Mus musculus: one gene and its partners. The protein of the gene in region 2 binds, or shares a complex with, the protein of the main gene of each other region. Links are inferred from orthologs where the notes say so. Each region holds a gene or a part of one and is shown on either strand. Other genes may lie near its edges. The genes, in order: Taf13, Taf4, Taf11 and Taf12.

Region 1 (5,599 bases), on a different chromosome or scaffold from region 2:
CCCAGAAGTGAATAAAACTGGTTATGGTGGCACACCCCTATAATCTCAGCACTTGGGAAGTAAAGGCAGGAGGATCAGAAGTTCAAGTTCAGTGACAAAGCAGCCTAGGCTATAGGAAACCCTGTCTCAAAATCAAACAAGCTGCCCAGGGCAACAAAAACAGACACGCTAATGTGGAGAGGGGGAAGCCCAGGAGGCTTCAACTCTCCTAGAAGAACTGCAGGCAACTAAGGAATTCTGGGAAAGGGTGGAGCAGTCTTCCCAGCCTTAAGCACACCAACTGGCTGTCCAAACCAGTGGTAAGCCCTTGAAAACAGACAGAGCAAGTTGTCCTGACATACTTGGAGAGAGAGAGAGAGAGAGAGAGAGAGAGAGAGAGAAAGAGAGAGAGAGAGAATGTATGTACATATGTGTATATATACAACAACAATTAATAAAGAGCCTATGAATTTGAAAAAGCAAGGAGGAGTATATGGGAGGGTTTGGAGGGATGAAAGGGAAGGGGGGAAAATGATGTAATAATAATAATAATAATAATAATAATAATAATAATAATAATGTAGCCCAGGGAGATAGCTCAGCACATAAGGTCACCTGCTGCCAAGCCTGAAGACCTGAGTTCCATATCTGGTACCTTCTGAGTACCATCACATGGTAGAAGGAGGGAATCATGGAGTCAAGAGAAACAATAGTTTAAGGTCAACCTGGACCACACAGCAAGACCCTGTCCAAAACAAAAAACAAAAACAAAACAAACAAACAAAAAAAACCCCAGCAAAAATAGAAGAGACATGAAGATTCTATTAAGTCAGTGGGAGAAGCCTGCGAAGATTCCAAATTTTTGTCATCACAAAAGTAGAGCAGTTGAAACTGAACTAAAGGTTTGGACAAGCAGCAGGGTGAATACCATTCCTAGAGCACTTTAGTGTAAGGGTCGTTTTCATATGTCCACATAAGGAGTAAAACCACACACAAATCACGTAACTAGCATCAGTGAGACAGAATGGGAAGTGGTCAGACTTGAACGAAACTGGAAGGTACTAGTGAGGATTTCTGTTATGGTTGTAAGATACAGCCGAAGTTGCCTTCAAACTCAATGAGGAAGACCCTGAACTCAAATTCTCCCATCCCTATCTCTCCCAAGAGCTGGGATCAAAAAAGATTTAGAGAGTTAAAGGCTGATCTTGCAGTTTCTAGAATTTTTCAATCCTACTGTACTCAGGCATTTATAAATCTCTGCCGCTGTACTTCCCAAGGCTCAGCCAAGGAGCCTGGGAGAAGGGATGGAGAGTGCAGTCTCATGGGCCTTTCAGGAATTAGTATGGGCACAACAAGTGGACACCGCTCACCCTGCGCTGCCCCAAGGGCTACCTGTCTGTTTAAGGAGCACCATGGAAGGCTAGTGCACTGTCATCTCCACAGCACACTTCACCACCTTCTTGCCCTGAGCTATGCCTTAGTCCAAAGCCTCAACTTACATCATTTGAAAGGTGGACACAAGAGGGATACAACGTTCAAAATGTCAACTGGGAGCCATGGCATATGCCTGTACATCTAGAGCCAGGGAAACAGATAGGAGAGCAGAAGTTCAAGGTTCTTGCAAGGTTCTTGCAAGTTCAAGGTTATACGCATATGCATACCAAGTTTGAAATCATGCTGGGATCTAAAAACCCTGCCTCAGCTGGGTGGTGGTGGTTCACAGCTTTAATCCCAGCACCCAGGAGGCAGAGGCAGGCAGGCACATCTCTGTGAGTTCAAGACTAGCAGATCTTGATCTATTCTAAACTCCAGAAAGAGTTCTAGGACAGCCAGGGCTACACAGAAAAACCAAGCCTCAAAAAAGGAAAAGAAAAACAAAAACAAACAAAACAAAAAAACCCTGCCTCAAGGAGGAGGGCAGAGGTGATCACATTCATTATTTTATGTCACACAGAGAGAATTAGTAGACATGAGAGAGACTTATACTGACCATGGGATGCACACCTGCAATCCCAGGACTTGAGAGGCTAAAGCAGGACTACCACCAAACCAAGGCTAGCATGGGCTAAACAGTAAGCACCAGTATAGCCTTGGCTATACAGAGCCTATCTTTAAAACAAACAAACAAACAAACAAACACCAAGAATAAAAACAGGCAACCTTATAGGCAACTCTGAGAACACTGTCCCTATAAACAAACATATGCAGAACAATATACTCTGAAAAGACATGTTCAAAAGCTTTCACCACCTGTAATAAAAACACTAGAAAGTACAACTTACATTCTTTCGAGAAAAGTCTCTTTCTCTTCCCCTGGCCACCTTCCGCTCCTCCTCCAATTTCTTCATTCTCCTCCTCAAACTAGAAATTTTAAAACACGGACATGGCAAATGATTGCAGTGCACGTGATATTCCCTCGAGTCTCCTCCTGCTCGCCCTCTTTGTGGAGTGCTGTGAATTGAACCCACGAGCTCACGATGCTAAACAGATGCTTGACCACTGAGCTACACCTCCTGCACTCTTTTCATCTTTTTTTTTAAAGGCATTTATTATTTATGTGTATTGTGTGCCTACATAAATGTGCCTGCTGTTGCCCATAGAGGCCAAACTAGGTCTAATCGCTGTAGGTTGCCAGATGTGACAGCAAATGCTCCTAAGCACTAAAGCTATCTCTCTACACTTTTTTTTTTTTTTTTTTTGAGACAAAGTGGTCTCACTATGTGCCCGTGTCTGCCTGAACTCACGGAGATCCGCTTGCCTCTGCTCCTGAGTGCTGGGATTAAAGGTGTGCGCCACCACGCCCAGTGACCCTTTTTCATTTTCGAAAGTGAGAAGCTAAAGCAAACTGCACAAAACCACGAAAATTTAGCACCAAAGGGCTCATAAGCCCTAGTCCAATTCTCAAGTCGTGCAAGAAGGCTTTTATTACGGCTGCTAACAACCTTACAACCGTGCGTGTGTAAAGTTCTAACGACCTCAGGTTCTGGGTTTGGTTTTAGCCAATTTAGTTGTCACACTGCTAAGCAAGACTACTGTAAAAACCTGGTAGTTTAAAATCTACTCTCTGCTGTCATCGGAAGCAACTGATAAAGGGCTAAGAACTTTCCTTAACTGGGCTGGACTCTACCTCACAAGAAAACCGATGCCAAAGGAGAATTTGGATCCCAAGCTTCCTGTCTTTAGTTCATCGTTTCTCCGCTATCTTCACTAGTTTTGTCAGCATCTGGGCTGCTGGTTCCGCTTTAATCAGCTTTGATCTCCTATGACCCTCTAGATGTCTTAGTGTCGGGAAGATCCAGGTCAAAGAGAGACCCTTTCTACTCTTCCTTCCCGTCTTGTCCCACGCACTGACTAAGGTAAACCAAAAAAGGAAAACACCGCGGAGCCCCCGGACTCTCGGCGGGAATCCCTAAGGCACAAGCGGGTCAGACTCTGCCTCCGCTAGTGATCCGAAAGGAGTGAGGAACCAGGCTGAGACAGGCGCTCACTCACGGTGGGGTCTTCCTCCTCATCTGCCATGCTAGCTGCTCGCCAGCCTTCTGAACCCGCCCACCGGCGGCTGGCGAGTTTTATAAGATACGTACGTCACTTCCGGCCTGGCCAGCGTTGCGCAGAGAGGCGTGCGCGTTCATTCTCCTACCCAACCCCGGCCTTGGGATTGGCTGGAAGTCAGTGACGTGCTCTTACGTGTGGAATCCTGAAGGAGGAATTAAAAATTACAAAGAAGCCAGGCGTGGTATACTACGCCGGGAAATCTCTGCACTTGGCAGGCAGAGGCAAGAGGGCTTCGAGTTCGAGATCAGCTCAAGTTTCATGAGCCCATGTCTCAGAAAACATAAGTGATAAATTTGTGCATACTTACGGAGGCTCACAAATGCCTGTAAAAATAGGATGACTTTTTGCCTCTGGGGCTGATCCACTCAAGTACACAAGCCCCATGATATTATATATAGTATCTATATTATTATATAATTATATATCTACTTTCTTTTATGTAAATAGGTGTTTTGCCGGCAAGTATGTGTACCATGTGTGTGCAGCACCAAAGAAGCCAAAATAGAGCAACCGATTTCCTGGAACTAGAGATAGACGATTGTGAACCGCTATATAGGGGCTAGGAATCAAACTCAAGTCTCTTGAAAAGCAGCCAATACTCTTAACCACGGAGCAATCTTTCCTGCCTCCGTTAATACGCAATATATATATGTAGTTTGGGTTGGAAGGTTGTTTTGCGCTTTTTTTTTTTTTTTTTTTTGGTTTTTTCAAGACAGGGTATCTCTGTGTAGCCCTGGCTATCCTGGAACTCACTCTGTAGATCAGGCCGGCCTCGTTCTCAGAAATCCGCTTGCCTCTGCCTCCCAAGTGGTGGGACTAAAGGCGTGCGCCACCACTGCCCGGCCGTTTTTTGCTTCTTCTTCTTTTTTTTTTTTTTAAATTACAAAAGATGTGCTAGAGAAATGGTTCAGTCAATAAAAGCTCTAGCGGAATAAGCCTAAGGCTCAGGTTCAATCCCTGGGACCTGTATAAAAAGTGAAAGGTGAGAAGACAGAGTCTGCAAGGTTGTCCTCTGGCTTCCATACACAATAATAAGAAAATATTTTAAAATTATGAAAGAGCTAAGTGTAGTGGCACTCGCCTTTAATCCCTGCCTTGGGAGGCAGAAGCCAGAAGATCTCTTTGAGTTAGAGGCCAGCCAGGGCTACATAGTCAAAACAAGAAAACCAAAGCTCGGCAGTGGTGGTCCATGCTTTTTGTCCCAGCACTTGGGAGGCAGAGGCAGGCGGATTTCTGAGTTCAAGGCCAGCCTGGTCTACAGAGTGAGTTCTAGGACAGCCAAGGCTACACAGAGAAACCCTGTCTCGAAAAACCAAACCAAACAAACAAATAAACAAAAAGCAGAGACATTAAATATATCAGAAAGATGGCAACACAGAAAAGGTGGAAATAGGGCATAAATAAATATGTATAAATATGTATAAGTAAAAAGGAAAGGACTATAGACACTTACGCTATCAGCGTATAAACTATGAAGCATGGATAATTCAACCCTCTTAACTCAAACTCCAAAATGGAAACTGGGAAAAACAAATGAGCAGAACAGGCACAAAGCAGAGTGAACAGCCCTGTGCTTCCTCTACAAGTTTAGCGTGGACTCCGGAGTCTAGTTTAGAGTTGGAGGAAAGATGTCAAATGACAGAAAAAACATCTCATAGCCAGCCATTGCTGAGGGTGGACAGGGCTCAGAGGGCAAGGACCCACAGAAATTAACCAAAATGAGGACCTTTAGAAAACAGAGTAGCAATGGCTGACAATCATTAGCTATACTGTCATTTGCCAATTTTCTCTGGATTGAAATATCCCACACAGGAGGGAGAGAGAGGCTCATGTCTCACATATCTGGAGGACAGAAACACGTGATTTTTGAGAGCCTGACCCCAGCAACTTAAAACAGAGTCATTAACAACTCAGGGAAGGGCTGGTGAGATGGCTCAGTGGGTAAGAGCACCCGACTGCTCTTCCAAAGGTCCAGAGTTCAAATCCCAGCAACCACATGGTGGCTCACAACCATCTGCAACGAGATCTGACTCCCTCTTCTGGAGTGTCTGAAGACAGCTACAGT
Region 2 (4,816 bases):
CCAGTGCTCAGCTTGTTGACCGAGTAGGGTTAGAATAGACACTTTGGGTCAGCTGCCTTGCCTGAGCTCTGGCTTTCCTCTTGCCATCAGTAGGTTTAGTTTTCTGGGTCCCAGTCCCTTCCTTTGTAAAGTGTAGATCTGCTAATGTACAGGTCATGGTACTGTCAAGAGGACTGAGCATGCTTGAAGTACCAAGAATGAGAACAAGGCAGAGCAAACGCCATACATACCCTGGCTCCCAAGCCTTGAGGTCATCAGTCTTGATGCCAGGCTGTGCTGTCCCAGTGTGCAGTGCCCCCACACCCTCAGCACCGTAAGCGCAGGGTCTGTAGCACACTCTCTTCTGTGCCTTGTGTGGCCTTGCTTTTGTCTGGTGCCTTCCCTGAATAGCTGACAATTAAGAGATGGCGGAGGAATCCTGCCTGATACTCCCTCTAGAGTTGTGCCCTGTCCTGAAGATGGGCTGTCTGTGATGGAGGTGGGCAGAGCTCCCATAGGAAACGACAGAGAGCACCTCTGCAGTGTTGTTTCCTGAGGAGGAAGCATGTGGACTGCTGTGGGAGGTTCTCTGTGGCGGTGGTACCTCTCATCTGACCTTGTGCCTGAACTCACGCTGCTCTGGTCACCTCAGGGCTCCGGGCATCTCCATCCTGCTTGACTCTGTCTCCCTTTCACACTCTTTCACACTCTGTGTCTAGGACTCAGGGCATCTCCACTCTCAGTTCAGGCCAGTGTCCCATAAGAGCATTGCCACAGCTGGCTTTCCAGATGTCTGCTTTAAAAGACGGCGTTTCGTAGACTTCACTAAAAGAGACTGTTTTTAGGATTTTCCATGAAAAGTTTCTCATCATAATTTTTTATTTTGGGCTTTGACTGATTTCCTTGTAGGTTAGTAGTAAGCAGTGGATTACTTGAGTGCAGTGGTGTATTTTTAAGAGTCTGTGTATACGCATGTGCACACATACATGTGCACAGGTGTAGGTACTACTTACGGTAGCTCATTTTAGATGATTTTTAACTTATTTTCCAGGCTCCAGGAACACCTATTATTGCACGGCAGGTGACCCCAACTACCATAATTAAGCAAGTGTCTCAGGCCCAGACGACGGTACAGCCCACTACAACCCTACAGCGATCTCCCGGGGTACAGGTAAGAGGATGCAGCCTAGTGCATCAGTAGGGATGCATGGCTGACAATGCATGCTTTTGCTTCGATGTAAACACTAGGCTTTAGGGTACCAGGTTGAATTTGAGGATGCAGGGGGTCAATGAAGAAAGTGATTTTTCTGTGTCTGAATGCAGGCTACATCTTTTCCTTATTTAGCATTGGCAGCATTCAAAAGCTCTTTATAAAATGTAATTAGGAACGTCACCTCATTAATATTTGACTCAGAGCATCTTTGAGGAGGGAGTCTGTGCTGAGGAGAGTTTGTGTCTGTGCTGTGGCCCCATTACATGCTCATGGACGGTGCTACTAGTGTGTGTGCAAGGTGTCCTCTCAACTTCCTGTGGCAAATTTGTAGATGAGCTAGGGAGGGGAGAGTGGGGGAGGGGCATTCTCCCTAGCCTTGCTTTCCTAGTGTCAGTGCTCCAGGGAGCAGCAGGGGAGTTACCTGCAGACCCTGGCCTTACCTGATCAACCTGTGCAGCTTCTAGCGTATAAAGCCAAGGGGAGCTTCCGTGCCAGGGGCTCCTCCTTGCAGAGGCTGAAGCAGATGTTAGGCGTGGTGGAAAGGACTGGTTAGGGAGGGCATAACATGTTTGCAGAGATGTACTTGGTGAAGACACATCTGATCAGGGAAACACTTGTAGGGAAGATGTCATTGGCTGGGGAGGCAAACATTGGTTAGGGAAGCTCACTCTCTGGGCACTCATTTGGGAGTAGGTGGGAAGCAAAGAGCCTCAAAGGCTCCTGATGTTGAGTTTGGAGCAGTCATACAGTACAGGGCTTTGAGCTCTAACCACGTTGGATTCGTGCTCACTCATACATGATCTTAGCTGAAGTGTTCCTGATTAGCTGCACCTCGTCCCAGTGGAGCCTGAACTGAGTGAGGGCGGTCCACACGGGGGCTTCTCTGAACTTTTCTGAACTCAGCTCCAACTTTTCTGAGTTCAGCTCCATTTTCTTCAGTAGCTGTGGAGAGCAAGAATATCTTGGAGAACGGTTCTGTGAGTCAGGAGAGAGGCCTGTGTGTTTCAGAAGCTGGAGTCTGGGAGACCTGCGGTTTCCTGAGGGGAACTTGTAGTGCTGCCTGTGCCTGACTCCAGCGTCTGCTTCTCTGAGGAGGAGGAAGAGGCTCTAGAAGCTACTGAAGTGCTTGGTAAATTGTGTGTCACGTTTTAATGGTGACAAATGCTTTGAGGTTAGTGGACAGTTTACAGTCAGGGTGAGTGTGTCCCTTGCCATAGCTGTCAGCTGGAGTGAAGGAAAGATGGCAAGAAGGGTCTGAGTCCTGCTGTCCCTGGCTTGTTGAGTCAACTCTTAGTTTGTTTTTGCATATTATCTTCACATGTTTTGGTTTGGTGGGCAATACGTGCTTATCATACAGAGACAATTATCACCCCTGAATCTGTTGCCAGCTGCAGGGTAACTTGGGGGCCAAGAGGCCTGGAGGTAGCTTAGTACTTGTACAGCTCTCTCATAAGCACCTGTGGCTGGGATCCTCCAAGGCTTTCTCTAAGGGGGCTGAAGATTTGCCTAAAGCTGCTCTAGAGCTCTCCTTGGTGTGGGTGTGAGATGTCACACTGCTCCCTGCTTTCAGATGAAGGGAGGGGACAGTGTTTAATAAACTGGAGTGAGGAAATGTGGGCAGCTAAATTTGTAAATTGGAGAGGTAATAATGTAAAAACCGGTAAATATTTCATTGTGATTATTCAAGAATAGAGAAATCTTAGGAAAGAGACTAAGGGTCAGTGGTTTGGAGAGTCTGAGCCTGTTGACATCTAAGTGCCCATTTGCGTTGCAAATGTTTTATGTTCGGTCAAGGAGTACCTTCCCACAGCTGGGCCAGTGCCTGTGACCCAGCTCTTATACCTGTGCCTCTGCATGCTGTGGCTTCTCGTCAGGCCTTACTTTTGGAAAGCAGAGCTCGTTAGTGCAGGTACTTGTGGGGAGTGGAGGCCTTTCCCTTGTCTTGGTGGCCTGTACGGACTCTGGCAGATGCTATGTGCTGGGAGGTCACAATTGCTTTCTAGCCAGGGCTCTATGAACAGATTAAAGGGTTCTCAGGAGGAGTGTCTGAGATGACAGCTCATTGTGTATCCAGTCCTCTGTGCTTGTCTCTGTGGTAGCCGTTAGTCAGTGTGACAGATTCTGGACAGTGACAGGTTCAAGCCCCTCAGGTTTATTGTAGATACAAGCATACCTCCATGTGTCTCTGTGGGCCTCAGGTGCGGGGCCAGGGATGCCCTTGGCCACCTCACATGGCTGCAGGAAGGGTGCCTACCTGGCCCTTGTTGAGCCATTTGCTCCCTACGTTTTCAGAAGCTGTTTTACTTTTGGGCTTGTGCTGCTGTTGCGATGCATTCACCTGTGTTTTGACCTTCTAGCCTCAGCTGGTTCTGGGTGGCTCCGCACAGCCAGCCTCACTTGGAACAGCCACAGCTGTTCAGACAGGGACACCTCAACGAACAGTCCCTGGGGCCAGCACCACCTCTACAGCTGCCACGGTAAGAACTCCCTTTGAGACGCCTATGGGCAAAGCCATTGGTATTAGTGGGGAAATGGAGCTGGTATATACAGGGGCTTGAGAATATTTTGGGGCCCACAAGCCAACCAAGAGCAGTGGTGCATTGAAGGGACCCACGTGAGAGCTTGGGTCTGTCTTCCCCTTATGGGGTGACCTGCACATGCTGGCCTCTGAGGAATGGTAGGAAAGGGCCCTGAGCGTCCTACTTGGGATCTAGGACCCTACAGAGACCTGTGGAAGCCACATATATGTAGCTGCTGAGCACCTGTGGTCTGGGTGTCTGTCTGTCTATCTGTCTGTCTGTGTTTGTCTTCACTACTTTTCCTTTATGTACCTGGAGTTTTAGAGAAGCTGGGACCCTATTTTGCAACTTCTCTTTTTGTATTCTTTGCCAAGTACTTTTAACCATTTCCAGGAGCTGCCTGGGACTTTGTGTGCTTGTGCACATTTAGGCAAGCAGCAGCCCCTGTCCCGACGTAAGGGCAGTGTCTTGGTGGATGCAGCCTTCCCTTAAAAGGGCTGGTTGAGAGACGCAGACTTGGTGGCCTTCAGAGTGGCTGATTGCCCTTCAGAGAAGATTATGGCTCATGCAAGAAGTAGTGTGGTTTTGAAGGAAGTTGAGATGCTGAGTTTACATTTTTCAGACCTGTACACATTTCACTGCAGTGGGGTCCTGTGGGGAAATCTCCTGTAACTTACACCTGTTTTATTTTAATACAGGAAACTATGGAAAATGTGAAAAAATGCAAAAGTTTTCTATCTACATTAATAAAACTGGCTTCCTCTGGTAAACAGTCTACAGAGACAGCGGCTAATGTGAAAGACTTAGTACAAAACTTACTGGTAAGTTCACATGAAACCCTCTGCCTCACCATGCTGTGTGACCTGCAGCCCATGTGCAGCCTGTAGGGCGACCTGCGTGTGCAGGTGAGAGCCTGTGGAAGGATCTAGTGCTGGGGTGCTGGGGTGGGGGATGCACTGTTGCCAAGATGTGTGCATTGCTTGGCATGACTTTTCTGGGGACTTGGCTGATACCCCAGTGTTCCTTCTGCACTTAGATGGGTCAGGGGATGTGCCAGCACTAGGGAGGGAGGGAGGGAGGGAGGGTGGGTGGGTTGGTTAAAGGG
Region 3 (5,550 bases), on a different chromosome or scaffold from region 2:
GAAAAACCAAAAAAAATAAAAAAAAAAAAAAAAAAAAAAAAATCCTAGCCAGAGTAAGTGCAGGGACTGATGGTGTGACTCACACATAGGTGAGATCAGTGCAGCGGGAGACACTGATGTCCATGAGGACATTGCACAAATATTCCCAGATAGACACTCTTGGGATAAGCGCTACTAGCTGGATTTTGAGGTTTGTTTTGTTTTGTTTGTATTCTGAGTTATTTGCAATGAGCCTATATTTACTGAAAAGGAAAAACAATGACCAAATGTAGTATAAAGCCCAAACATTTAGAAAAACCAACTATTTACTGTCCTTTACATGTATGCATGTATTTTGTGTCTGTCAGGACCATGCCTGTTTGGTGGTCAGAGGCCAGTTTCCAGGCCCTCATTCCTTCTTCTACCACGCGGTTTCCCAGGATTAAACCCTGGTCATTAGGTTCGGTGGCGAGCAGTGGTGAGCACCTTTCCTTGGCATCTTGCTGGCCTGAAACTATATCCAGGCATAGCAGCTCATGCCTATGATCTCAGTACTAAGTAGGCTGAGGCAGGAAGATCAGGAGTTGAAACCTTTGAGCTAAGGGCTTAAGTCTCATGAGCCCTTACCTCAAAAGCACACAAAAAAGCCAGTAAGCATGAATGTACAGAGTGGAGTTAGAGCCTGGACTGGGGACCTCTGTGACTCACTGCATCTTCTGAATCTCATCTTCGTCCACCTTCTGCTTCTTCTCCTTCTTGTCCTTAATGTCTAGTTTCAGCTTTTTGGCTGCAGGAGTAAGTAAGGACGAGTTTTCCCTCTCGGCTGCTGTTACATCTGAGACATCCTGACTCTTGAGCTGGAGAGATGGACAGAAACTCTTATTATGTACTCGGCACACTTCTCAGGTTTGGGAAAGGCCAGCAAACACCCTCCTCTTTCCAGCCCAGCAACTCTGTCTACGCAGTAGCTATCTAGTTCTAGGCACTGCCTATACCATCTGCATAAGAGGCAATCCATCTCTCCAAGGAAGATTATACTCCAGCTGGGAAAGAAAATAAATAATCCGCTGGGTGGTGGTGGCGCATGCCTTTAATCCCAGCACTTGGGAGGTAGAGGCAGGTGGATTTCTGAGTTCGAGGCCAGCCTGGTCTACAAAGTGAGTTTCAGGACAGCCAGGACTACACAGAGAAACCCTATCTTGAAAAACCAACCAACCAAACAAACAAACAAAAAACAAAAAAGAAAATGAATAATCCATTTCCCAGCCTAGCCATGATCATACAGAGGTCCTGCATCTGTTTACACATTACGAGGAAAATGCCAAGGATCCAAACAGCCACTCTCCCTCGGGCCCACCCTTCTGACCTCACTCCATAGATGTCAGTACAGTCCCTTCCATGTGTGTCTTGGGAGCTCCACACTGAACAGAGCTCTGTTCTTCTGATCCTTTCTCTACTGGATCACGAGATCTTTCCCAATACTAGAATACAAATTTTATTTATTTTATTTTTTTAAATAATTTGAGACAGAGTTTCTATACATAGCCCTGGCTATCCTTGAACTCTCTCTGTAGTAGTCCAGGCTGCCTTGTACTCAAGAGGTCCACCTGCCTCTGCCTCCAGAATGCTAGGCTTAAAGCTGTGCACCACCATGCCCAGTTCGGAAGCTTTTTTTTTTTTCCTTTTGTAATTTAAGACAAAGTCTCATTTTGGATTTTCAGCTTGTGGAAATTATAGACTTGTACCATTATATTGAGTTTAAACTAAAAACTGCAGAAAGCTCAGAGGTTAAGAGCATTGGCTGTTCTTGCAGAGTATCTAGGTTCCATTTACCAACACCCACATTTCAGCTCGCAGTCATTAGCAACTCTAGTTTCAGGGGATCTAATGCCTTCTTCTGACTTTTACAGGGAATGTGCCAGGCACATTACACGGCAAACAAAAATACACAGGCAAAACATTCATATAAAAAATATTCTTAAAAACCCACAATTTTTCAGTTACTACGGACATTCATGTGTGTGGGTTTGTAAGTGGACAACTTTGTGCAGATAGTCCGCTTCTACCTTAACGTGGGTTCTGGGGATCAAGCACCCTGACCTGCTGAACAATTTCGCCTGCCCTAAGCTAAAAACGTCTTCAAGATGTTTACTATTTACATTTCTCCTCACATAAACACTTAACCGTTTTATTCACAAGAGTGATCCAAACTCTGTCCTAGCCAACTTACTATAAAATCGTAATACATCAAAACTCATTAATGAGATTTAATGGTTCCTTTAAAATGAAAGGTATGTCGGGAAGTGGTGGCACATGCCTTTGATACTAACACTTGGAAGTCAGAGGCAAGGGGATCTCTGAATTCGAAGCCAGTGTGGTCTATAGAACCTGAGTTCCAGGTTAGCCAGGGCTACCCTGTCTCGAAGGAGGAGGAGGAAGAAGAGGAAGAAGGGGAAGAAGAGAAGGAGAAGGAGGAGGAGAAAGAAGAAGGAGGAGGAGGAGAAGAAAGAAAGAGAGGGAGAGAGAGAAAGAGAGAAAGGAAGGAAGGAATTCATATTTAAACTCATACAGAAATATGGAGAGGGGGAGAGAAGGCATTATCTATCTGACAGCCTTTCTAACTTACTTTCCACTATTGATCTACGCGTGTTTCTAACCTTTGTGCTTCAGATTTTCAAATTTATTTGTCCTTAACCATTTTCTCCTCGTCTTTTATCTTCTTGTCTCCTCCACCTTCCTCCTCAGCCTTCCCCCAAAAGGAGCTGGAGTACAAGCAGGCCTGAATAGGGCTCTAACAGCACCTACACCTTCCCGTTCCCTCTCCTGCCCCTCAAGGTTGCAGACTCACAAACAGTCGTGGGGGAATTCTAGTTCCCTGGCTTTGGAAGAAAGCAGTCAGGAGCGCACCCGGGTAGTCCTGCAGCGTTATCCACCAACTTCCACCTACCTCGCTTTCCTCCGCCGCGGCTTCTTTCAAGTCCGCGTCTCCATCCCTGTCGGTTTCCTCCGGGATTCCCTCAGTGTCGGCTGCCACCAAAGCCCCAGGAGTAGCCCTCGTCTCCTCTGACTCCCCTGGCTCCCCGCCTTTGTCTGTGGGCGACTCCCCGAGGTTGTCCATCGCGAGAGCAGGGGGTCAGAGGCGATGGCAGCACCGCCGGGAGAAGGAGCTGTGGAGCGGAGCTGGAGCTGAGGGCTCGTCGTCGCGCCGCGATGACGTCACGCCCACGGATCCTGGGAGGGGTCACTTCCAGAAGCGCGTTGGTTGCCCAGGGGATTCATATAAACGGAATTTGTTTTAATGTGAAAGAAATGTAGAAGTCTAGATCCTCCGCTTCAGGGCAGAAGCGTTTTTGAAAGAGCGTAATTCGTTTCCCGAGAGACTTCTTTTTCCTTCTTTTTCTTCTCCTTCCTGGGAATGTAATGCCAATTAACCCTTCTTTAACTTTACTCCTTCAGCCCAAAGTCGGGGAACAGGGAGAGAACTCGGTCCCGCTGCTTGTTGTTGCCGTGGACTGAGCAGCTTCCGGCAGCGACCTAACCTCGGATTTCCCAAAGAACTAAGACCACCGGCTTGTGTCCACCAGGGAAGTTTCCCTTCTGTTTCGCAAGCATCTCTAACGCCAACAGAAAGTATCCAATGGTTTCATTTAACACTTCAAATATTGGCCACCTGCCTCGCGTCAGAACAGGCTAGTGTTGTGAGGGAAAAACAGAAAAAAAAAAAAAAGTCATCCTTTCCCAATTACATTTCCCTCCTTAGTCCACCAATATTAAAAATTGGAAATGGTTCCCCAAATCTGACTTTTAAAATGTCTCTCATGACAACTAAGAGAAAGAAGGTCTCTTCTGACTTTTTCTGAAGAGTTAGTAGGATGGAGTGCGAGGATAGTGTCTGTTAAGAGTTCTTACATTTTTTTTTCATGTGTATGGGTGTTTTGCATGTAAGTCTGAGCTCCACATGCGTTCGTGGTACCCTGGGAGGCCAGCAAAAGGTGTTACATCCGCTGGAGCTGGAGTTACAGACTGCTGTGAGGCGCCACAAGTGATGGGAATCAAACCTAGATTCTCTGGCAGAGCAACCAGTGCTCTTAACAGGGAACCACCTCTCCAGCCACCCCCGTACTCCCTCCCCCCCCCCCACCTTTTTTTTTCTGGAGAGAGGGTCTCACTATGTAGCCTTGGCTAGCCCGTAACTTGCTTTGTAGATCAGGCTGACCTTAAACTCACAGCGATGCAGCCAGCGGCTTCTGCTTCTCGACTGCTGGGACAAATGGCAGTTGCCACAATGCCAGTCTAACTGCAGAAGTAAAACTCTCAGGTCTTCCCTCCAGGAGGCACCAGAGGGAGGGATTTTTCAAGTCTGGTTCTAGATCTCCGCGCCTATCCCGTATTGAATCTATGCGTTTTGAATGGAGTTGAAAACAGAGGTACGCGTTACCCCCTTTTCTTTTGTTTCTACGGTGCCAGGAACAATGACCGCATTTCCAGTGCCATGAGGTCCCAAACCTTTGGGAAGGCGAGCAGTTCGGGAAGCTCCTGCAGGCGTGCCGCCTCCGATCTCCGCCACCTGGCGAATGGGCGGGTCCGCTAGGCGTAGACCGCGCCTGCGCCAGGCTCGGCTCCGCACACCGAGGCTCCCCTCCGCCAAGCGGGCTCACCTGCACGGCGGCGCCGAGCCCCGCCCACTAGGTGGGCAAGGGGGCGGGGCGCGGGGGCGCGGTGACGCGTGACGCCGGATCCCGGAAGTGACGCGCCGCCAGGGAGTGGGGGAGGCCGAGGAGGCGGGGGGAGAGGGGGTGGCGTCCCCGGCCGGTTTGAGGGGTGCGTTGCCCGGAGACGGAAAGTTTCGGAGCCGGAGCAGGCTCTGCAAGGCTCCGGGTTGAGGTCCGAGGGGTGGCGGTCCTGGGGATGGGGAAGGAGCAGGAGCTGCTGGAGGCGGCCCGCACCGGGCACCTCCCGGCCGTGGAGAAGCTGCTGTCCGGGAAGCGGCTCTCCTCCGGCTTCGGCGGCGGCGGCGGCGGCTCAGGCAGCGGCGGCGGCTCCGGGGGCGGCGGCCTCGGTTCTTCTAGCCACCCGCTCTCCAGTCTGCTGAGGTGAGTGCGCGCGCCGGGGCTCGCAGCCTGGACTGCGAGGGCTCCCCCGAGAGGTCACGGTTCCTGGGGCGCGCGCGGCGCAGGCCGGGCTCTCGTGTCTGGCGTCGCCGCTGCGGAGAATGGGGGGAGTGCCCAGGTGGCAGCCCGCGCCGCATGGCACAGCTCGGCGTCACCCTCGCCCGCCGTGAGGTGCCAGCTGTCGCTTCTCACAAAAGCCGCTTCAGAGCAGACCGAATTCGCGGAATCCCTCTCACATCCTGCAGGGACTCCCACGCCGTGCAGAGCCTCGCGACTCCCCTAGAGCACATTCTCGGCTTCCTTCCCCAACGAGCTTAGAACGTTCCACCGGGCTGTGCGGAACCCGGCTTTTGTTTGTTTTTAAAATTGCTTCTGCATTGATCACGCACGAGGTGTTCAGACTTTGAGCCCCTCTTGCGCCTGAAGCTCAGTTTGTCGTTGTCACTTTGGCTGGGTTCGT
Region 4 (5,554 bases), on a different chromosome or scaffold from region 2:
GCCAGCGTGGGCTAGTGACCCTGTCTCAGAAAAGAACACCATAGGGAGCTGAAGAGGTGGCTCAGTGATAAGAGTACATCTGCTCTTTCAGAGGAACCACGTTAAGTTCTCAGCACTCATATCAAGGAGCTCACAATGCCCCAAACTCCCATCTCCAGGGGATCTGACTTCTCTGATCTCTAACGGTACCTACATTCACACATACAGACAGACAAACACACATAATTTAAAAAGAAAGAATTCAAGTATTTTGTAAATATAGGTAAGAATGCTAATTCAGCAATCCATTATCACTAGTTGAACTATCAATTGTGGTGCATACCTATAATCTCAGCATTCAAGAAACCAAGGCAACAGAGTCTTAGGTACACAGTGAGACCCTAACTAAAAAAGACGGCCACCTCCCAAATTAAAATCAACAAGATGGTGATAAAGGTATGCTTTTGCTCATAACTTGGTATAAAAAAATGCTGATCACTTTTATGCAGGCTTCTGAAAACAGTATCAGGAACAGGAGATGGGTCAGTGGTTAAAAGAACTTGTTGCTCTTGCAGAGGGCCTAGCTTCTGTCCCCACCATCCACACAATGACTTACAACCCAGTTCTAGGGGGACTCAATGCCCTTTTCAGGACTCTAAATCAAGCACCGATGTACACAGACACATAGTGAGGCAAAACATTCATACACATAAAAAATAAGGAGGCAGAGGCAGGAGGGTCTCTGTGAATTTGAGGCCAGCAGAATTGGTCTGCAGAGTTCCAAGGCAGTCAGGACTACACGGAGAGACCCTGACTCAATGCCCCTTCCCGATAAGAAATGAATAAACAAACAAACAAATCTTTAAAAATGGTACCAGAGGCTTTGGCTTCAAAAATCCCCCCTTTGCTTTGTGGATGGTTTTTCTCTGTGTGCTGGCTGTTCGGGTCTCATCACCTTTAGTAAAACCTTAAAAAAAATAATAGAGCAGCTAAGCTCCTGGGAAAATAATAGCTTCAAGTATGTTAAAAAAAAAAAAAAAAAACAACCTTTTCTTTATTCAGTGTGTCTGTGCTGATGTGGTCAGAGGATAATTTTGGGAGTTGGTTCTCTCCTTCCACCATGCAGGACTCAGGGACTGAACTCAAATCATCACTCCTTGTGGCAATCACCTTACCAGGAGAACCACCTCACCTGATCTGCTCTTCTTCTGTTTCTCCTTGAGATAAAGTTTTATGTTGACATTGAACTCCTGATCGTCCAGCCTCCACCTCCAATGTAATGGAATTATAGCCCGAGCATTCACAACATCGAGTATATGCTAGCAATTAACTGCAAAGTTAATCTGATGTCGCCCTAATTAAAAAATAAATAAATAAAAATAACCTACTCTATTATGGGAAAGATTCTACCTGGAATATTTATGCTTCTGTGAAAACACAGGAATTCAGATGTCAAATACTATGGAAGTATCTTAAAAGTTACAGTCCTTGACTTGAAAAGGAGTTAAGAAGCTGGTTTTGGTGATGTAGCCTTGAATCACCAGCGCTCTGAAGTCAGAGGCAGGTGCATCTCTGAGTTTGAGGCCAGCCTGGTCTACACAGCAATTTCCAGGCTAGGGGGAGCTAAGTAGTTTGGGGAGGAGGGGTGTGCTTTCATTCAGTGGAAGGATTTATAAATATTACTTATATTTCATTCACATGCATACTACACATGGCAGGAAATCCACTTAGAAAAGCTCAAGAAAGCTTTGGAGGCACATTTGCAGATAAGCTACTCAGTACTTTATGACAAACCCCTTAACCTCTCTGGACAGACAACAGGACTAACCATACTTAACTGTGGGGCTGTGATAAGGAAGGGGTGGAATACTTAAAAGTGTTTAAGTTGTTCATGGTGGAGGTGCACACCTTTAAACCGAACGCTCCGAGGCAGAGGCAGGTGGACTTGACTTTGAAGCCAGCCTGGTCTACACAGTGAGTTCCAGGACAGCCAGGGCTACACAGAAAACCCTGTCTTGAAAACAAACAAACAAACAAACAAACAAACCAAAAGAAAACAGAACAAAAAGCCCAAAGTGCTTAAGTTGTGCACGATTCATCTGAGTAGGTTTCAGTCCTGGGTCTTTATGAAGGGAAATGACAGGGTCCAAGTCACTCTTCTAAAAGCAATCCCTAGAAAATGTTCTAGGCCACATTTACTTGTGAATTTCTCAACATCTTATTGAAAAATAAAATTTATAAATAAATAAAATAAATAAAAGACTTTTCACTTAAAAGTTTGTTTCCTCCCTTGTAACATTTATGCCAATGCCATACATAATAGGTACTAAAATATTAAAATCCGTTAGAAAAAAATCCCTTCTGAGTTTGAGGGTAGAGATTCTAAAAGCATTTATTCAAATAATTTCAAGCAAGCATCTCTTCTTCGATGTACATGGTAGAGTACTGTATAACCTAAGAATCTGGCTCACAGTGATCCTAATCCCTCTTTGCATCCTCTTTTTCTTAAATGTAAAAGAATTCAAAGTGTTCTTTTGCTGCCCTTCCATCTATGACAGTTTGCTAGTGATATAGAGATCTGTGCTCAACGGGGGCTGAATGGAACAGGGCTTAAGGTACTTATCAAGTATATAACTGAGTTCAAACTGCTTTCAGCTTCACATCTGATTCACAATAATGAAGAAAAACGAAGACGTTTCATGTGGCTTTTCTAGGTTAAGTAACGGACACAAGAAAAAGCCTAAATGCCAAAAGCCAAATAGGCAGCGCCAAGAAGTCTTCCCCCGAATATATATATCCTAATCCTCCGGGTACAGAGAACAGATCGCTAAACCTTTTCAACTTTTCTCCCTTGAAGGCTGATCTCCCAGCCGTTAAGGACCCCCTAGTTCCTTCACTTTTAGGAGCTCGGGTCCTTACATCTCTGTCCCTCCAGAAACTCTTGAGTCTGAAAGCCCGGATCTTGTCCCCAAAGAAGACCCAGTCCTCACTGCCCGCTTCGATTCCCTTTCAAATTCAAGTCTTCTCTGCCTCCTTCTCTAGCTCCAGTCCTCAAGTCTTTGCTGCCCGGTTTCTGAATCCTTAGGAGCTGGGACTTTACTGTCCCGCTTCTGTCTCTTAGGAGCCCGAGTCCTCTCGGGCTCCACTTTTACCTCTCTGGAGCCTGTGTCTTCACGCCCCGTTTCGTTCCTACCCTCGCCTCCTATAAAGTGCGGGATCCTCACCATCCTGTCCCTCTCAGAAGGCTTTCCCTCAGATGCTGCAGAATCCACATCCGTCCCCGTTTCCTAAGTCTCTCATTCAGAGCTCGAGTCCCCAACAGCCGCTGCTTCTGCGAGCCCGAACCCCTCAAGTCCCGTCCCAAGAGCCTGGGCTCCTCAGCCCCGTCTCTTCCACAGCCTAGTTCTTCCAGCACTGACCCGCTGTGGGTCTGGGTCCTGACACCCTCCTCCCGCTCTTCGTCCTCAACTGCCAGGGCCCAAGACTCACAGGCAGCAGCGTCTATCTCCCCATGATATGCGGAGACTGCCCCAGTGAAGCTTTCGTCTCAGCAGCCGGTCCGACTGCGCGGCCCTCCCCAAGCACTTCCGGCACCGCTCCCCGCCTCCAACCCGGAAACGCGCGGCTCTTCCGGCCGCCGGGCGCGCGCCTCACTAGCGCAGGCGCAGATGGTACTACAACACGTGGTAGGACTGTGAGCCCAGCGCCTGGCTTGGCAGGTCGGGCTTTCTGCTCTGTGTGGCTTGCTGGTGGCGTGGGTCTACTCTGCGTCCCCTACCACGGCGTGAATCCCTGTCCTAGATGTTTCTTTACGACTCATCTCTTTCACGAGCGTGACCGGTAACCGACGGCCTCGGAGAGCTTCCAAGTCGCCATTTTTGGTTGGTGCCTTTGTGGTGCTATAAGGATGGGACCGCAGTTCTGCATAGATACCAACTATGGGACTCTCAACCAGCACGAGAACTTGGAGACTAGAGAAGCTGATTGTGCCTATTAGTTAATCTGTAGTCAACATACACTTGGACGAGAGCTGTCTGTGAGGGACTGGTTCAGTCCCTCACTTGGAGTATGTCATGTAATAGTGGAAGAAACGTGAAATTCCTAAGGGATGTAGGTTCTCAACTTGAATTGAAAATTCTTACTCCAAAGCCCGGGCTGGTACAGTAACTGTTAAACCACTAAGCCCTGAGATTTGAGTACTTTTTTTTTTTTTTTTTTTGCTAGGCATGTAAGCAACAGGCAGTTTCAGTCCCCGGCAAGGATTCTTAGTAAAATAGAGATCTCGCAAACGAGTGTATAGAAGTCTGACATCTCAGAGCTATCAACGGTTCCTGCCCATAAAGAATCCATTCTATCTTTGTATCTTCATCCCATTAGGCTCATCCACCCTCTTGGTCCAAAATCCTGGATGCAAGGGCTTAACCATTAAGTGGCAAACTGTTTATAACCTTATTTTTCTTTTTGGATTTATTTTATGCGGAAAAGTGTTTTGTCTGCATTTATATATGTACACCATGTGCATTCCTGGTGCACAAAGAGGTCAGAAGAGGGTATCTGAAGCCTTGCAATTGAAGTTACAGATAGTTGTGAGCCACCATGTGACTGCTGGCATTGACCCAGGCCCTCTGCAAGACTGCCAGGTTCGAGAGAAAGCCACCTCTCAAGCCCCAGCTTTATTTTTCTATCATGGTTCTCAGAGTTTGGCCAATCAGTTTTTGTGCTTGCATCCTTGGATGTACTAAACTGTTTTTTTGTTTTTGTTTTTGTTTTTTGCTGTGTGCTGGGTATATCCTGTTGGGGAAGTCAGTCATCATTGTCCTTAAGAGTTTACAGGCGCTAGGCAGTGCTAGCTCATGCCTTTAATCCCAGCACTTGGGAGGCATGGGCAAGATTTCTGAGTTTGAGGCCAGCCTGGTCTACAGAGTGAGTTCCAGGACAGCCAGGGCTACACAGAGAAACCCTGTCTCAAAAAAACAAGCAAACAAAAAAAAAGACTAGATGAGCAGTAAGGCTGAAGTTTGGTTAGGGGACAGGAAGGGACAGGTGGAAATGGGGGGTGGATTTTATTCAGTGTTCAGTGGAAAGGCATGAAAACTGAGGATTGAGATGGTAATTTGTATTTAAGGAAGCATTGGGTGGATGGGTAGGGTGGATGGGTATCTTGGCTCAAACCATTGGCCCCTACTCTCGGGAGGCAGAGGCAAGTCAGTTTCTGAGTTTGAGGCCAGCCTGGTTTTCAAGCTAGCCACTGCTCCACAGTAGGTGCATGTGTCAAATAAAGTGTGTGGCGATAAATGAACACTTGGATTATAGAAGGGCCCCTTGATGGACAGAGGGTAGCACCACTGGGCTCCTCACCAGTTTCTTTTCTTTTCTTTCTTTCTTTTTTTTTTTTTTTTTTTTTTTTTTGGGGTTTCCAGACAGGGTTTCTCTGAATAGCCCTGGCTGTCCTGGAACTCACTCTGTAGACCAGGCTGGCCTCGGACTCAGAAATCTGCCTGTTTCTGCCTCCCAAGTGCTGGGATTAAAGGCGTGCACCACCACGCCCGGCTTCACCAGTTTCAACTACACCTCT

What was found.
Region 1: Taf4 (region 2) and Taf13 share a complex: the UniProt entries of both Homo sapiens proteins name them as parts of the TFIID basal transcription factor complex. The link is inferred for Mus musculus from reciprocal best matches to the Homo sapiens genes TAF4 and TAF13.
Region 3: Taf4 (region 2) and Taf11 share a complex: the UniProt entries of both Homo sapiens proteins name them as parts of the TFIID basal transcription factor complex. The link is inferred for Mus musculus from reciprocal best matches to the Homo sapiens genes TAF4 and TAF11.
Region 4: the proteins of Taf4 (region 2) and Taf12 are in contact, whole or in part, in a crystal structure (PDB 1H3O), measured with the Homo sapiens proteins. The link is inferred for Mus musculus from reciprocal best matches to the Homo sapiens genes TAF4 and TAF12. Residues at the interface, in NP_003176.2 of Homo sapiens: Phe872, Leu873, Leu874, Pro877, Leu878, Arg880, Arg881, Ile882, Ile885, Gly886, His889, Gly890, Ile891, Thr892, Glu893, Leu894, His895, Asp897, Val898, Tyr901, Val902, His904, Ala905, Thr906, Gln907, Gln908, Arg909, Leu910, Gln911, Leu913; in NP_001128690.1 of Homo sapiens: Val57, Leu58, Thr59, Lys62, Leu63, Leu66, Val67, Glu69, Val70, Glu74, Met83, Leu84, Ile87, Ala88, Asp89, Phe91, Ile92, Glu93, Val96, Thr97, Cys100, Ala103, Arg104, Ser108, Ser109, Thr110, Leu111, Glu112, Val113, Lys114.

The regions. Positions count from the first base shown.
Region 1 is NC_000069.6:108,569,621-108,575,219, reverse strand, and holds the start of Taf13 (transcription initiation factor TFIID subunit 13), read right to left. Parts: upstream 3,522-5,599; 5' UTR 3,499-3,521; coding exon 3,472-3,498; intron 2,341-3,471; coding exon 2,262-2,340; intron 1-2,261. UniProt on the Homo sapiens protein: The TFIID basal transcription factor complex plays a major role in the initiation of RNA polymerase II (Pol II)-dependent transcription.
Region 2 is NC_000068.7:179,934,745-179,939,560, reverse strand, and holds part of Taf4 (transcription initiation factor TFIID subunit 4), read left to right. Parts: intron 1-1,030; coding exon 1,031-1,150; intron 1,151-3,549; coding exon 3,550-3,669; intron 3,670-4,409; coding exon 4,410-4,532; intron 4,533-4,816. UniProt on the Homo sapiens protein: The TFIID basal transcription factor complex plays a major role in the initiation of RNA polymerase II (Pol II)-dependent transcription.
Region 3 is NC_000083.6:27,904,575-27,910,124, forward strand, and holds the start of Taf11 (transcription initiation factor TFIID subunit 11), read right to left. Parts: upstream 3,171-5,550; 5' UTR 3,098-3,170; coding exon 2,927-3,097; intron 837-2,926; coding exon 688-836; exon of another isoform or gene 607-687; intron 1-606. Other genes in the region: Anks1 (ankyrin repeat and SAM domain-containing protein 1A), read left to right, coding at 4,888-5,072. UniProt on the Homo sapiens protein: The TFIID basal transcription factor complex plays a major role in the initiation of RNA polymerase II (Pol II)-dependent transcription.
Region 4 is NC_000070.6:132,272,402-132,277,955, reverse strand, and holds the start of Taf12 (transcription initiation factor TFIID subunit 12), read right to left. Parts: upstream 3,582-5,554; 5' UTR 3,469-3,581; exon of another isoform or gene 3,399-3,468; intron 1,334-3,398; exon of another isoform or gene 1,172-1,333; intron 1-1,171. UniProt on the Homo sapiens protein: The TFIID basal transcription factor complex plays a major role in the initiation of RNA polymerase II (Pol II)-dependent transcription.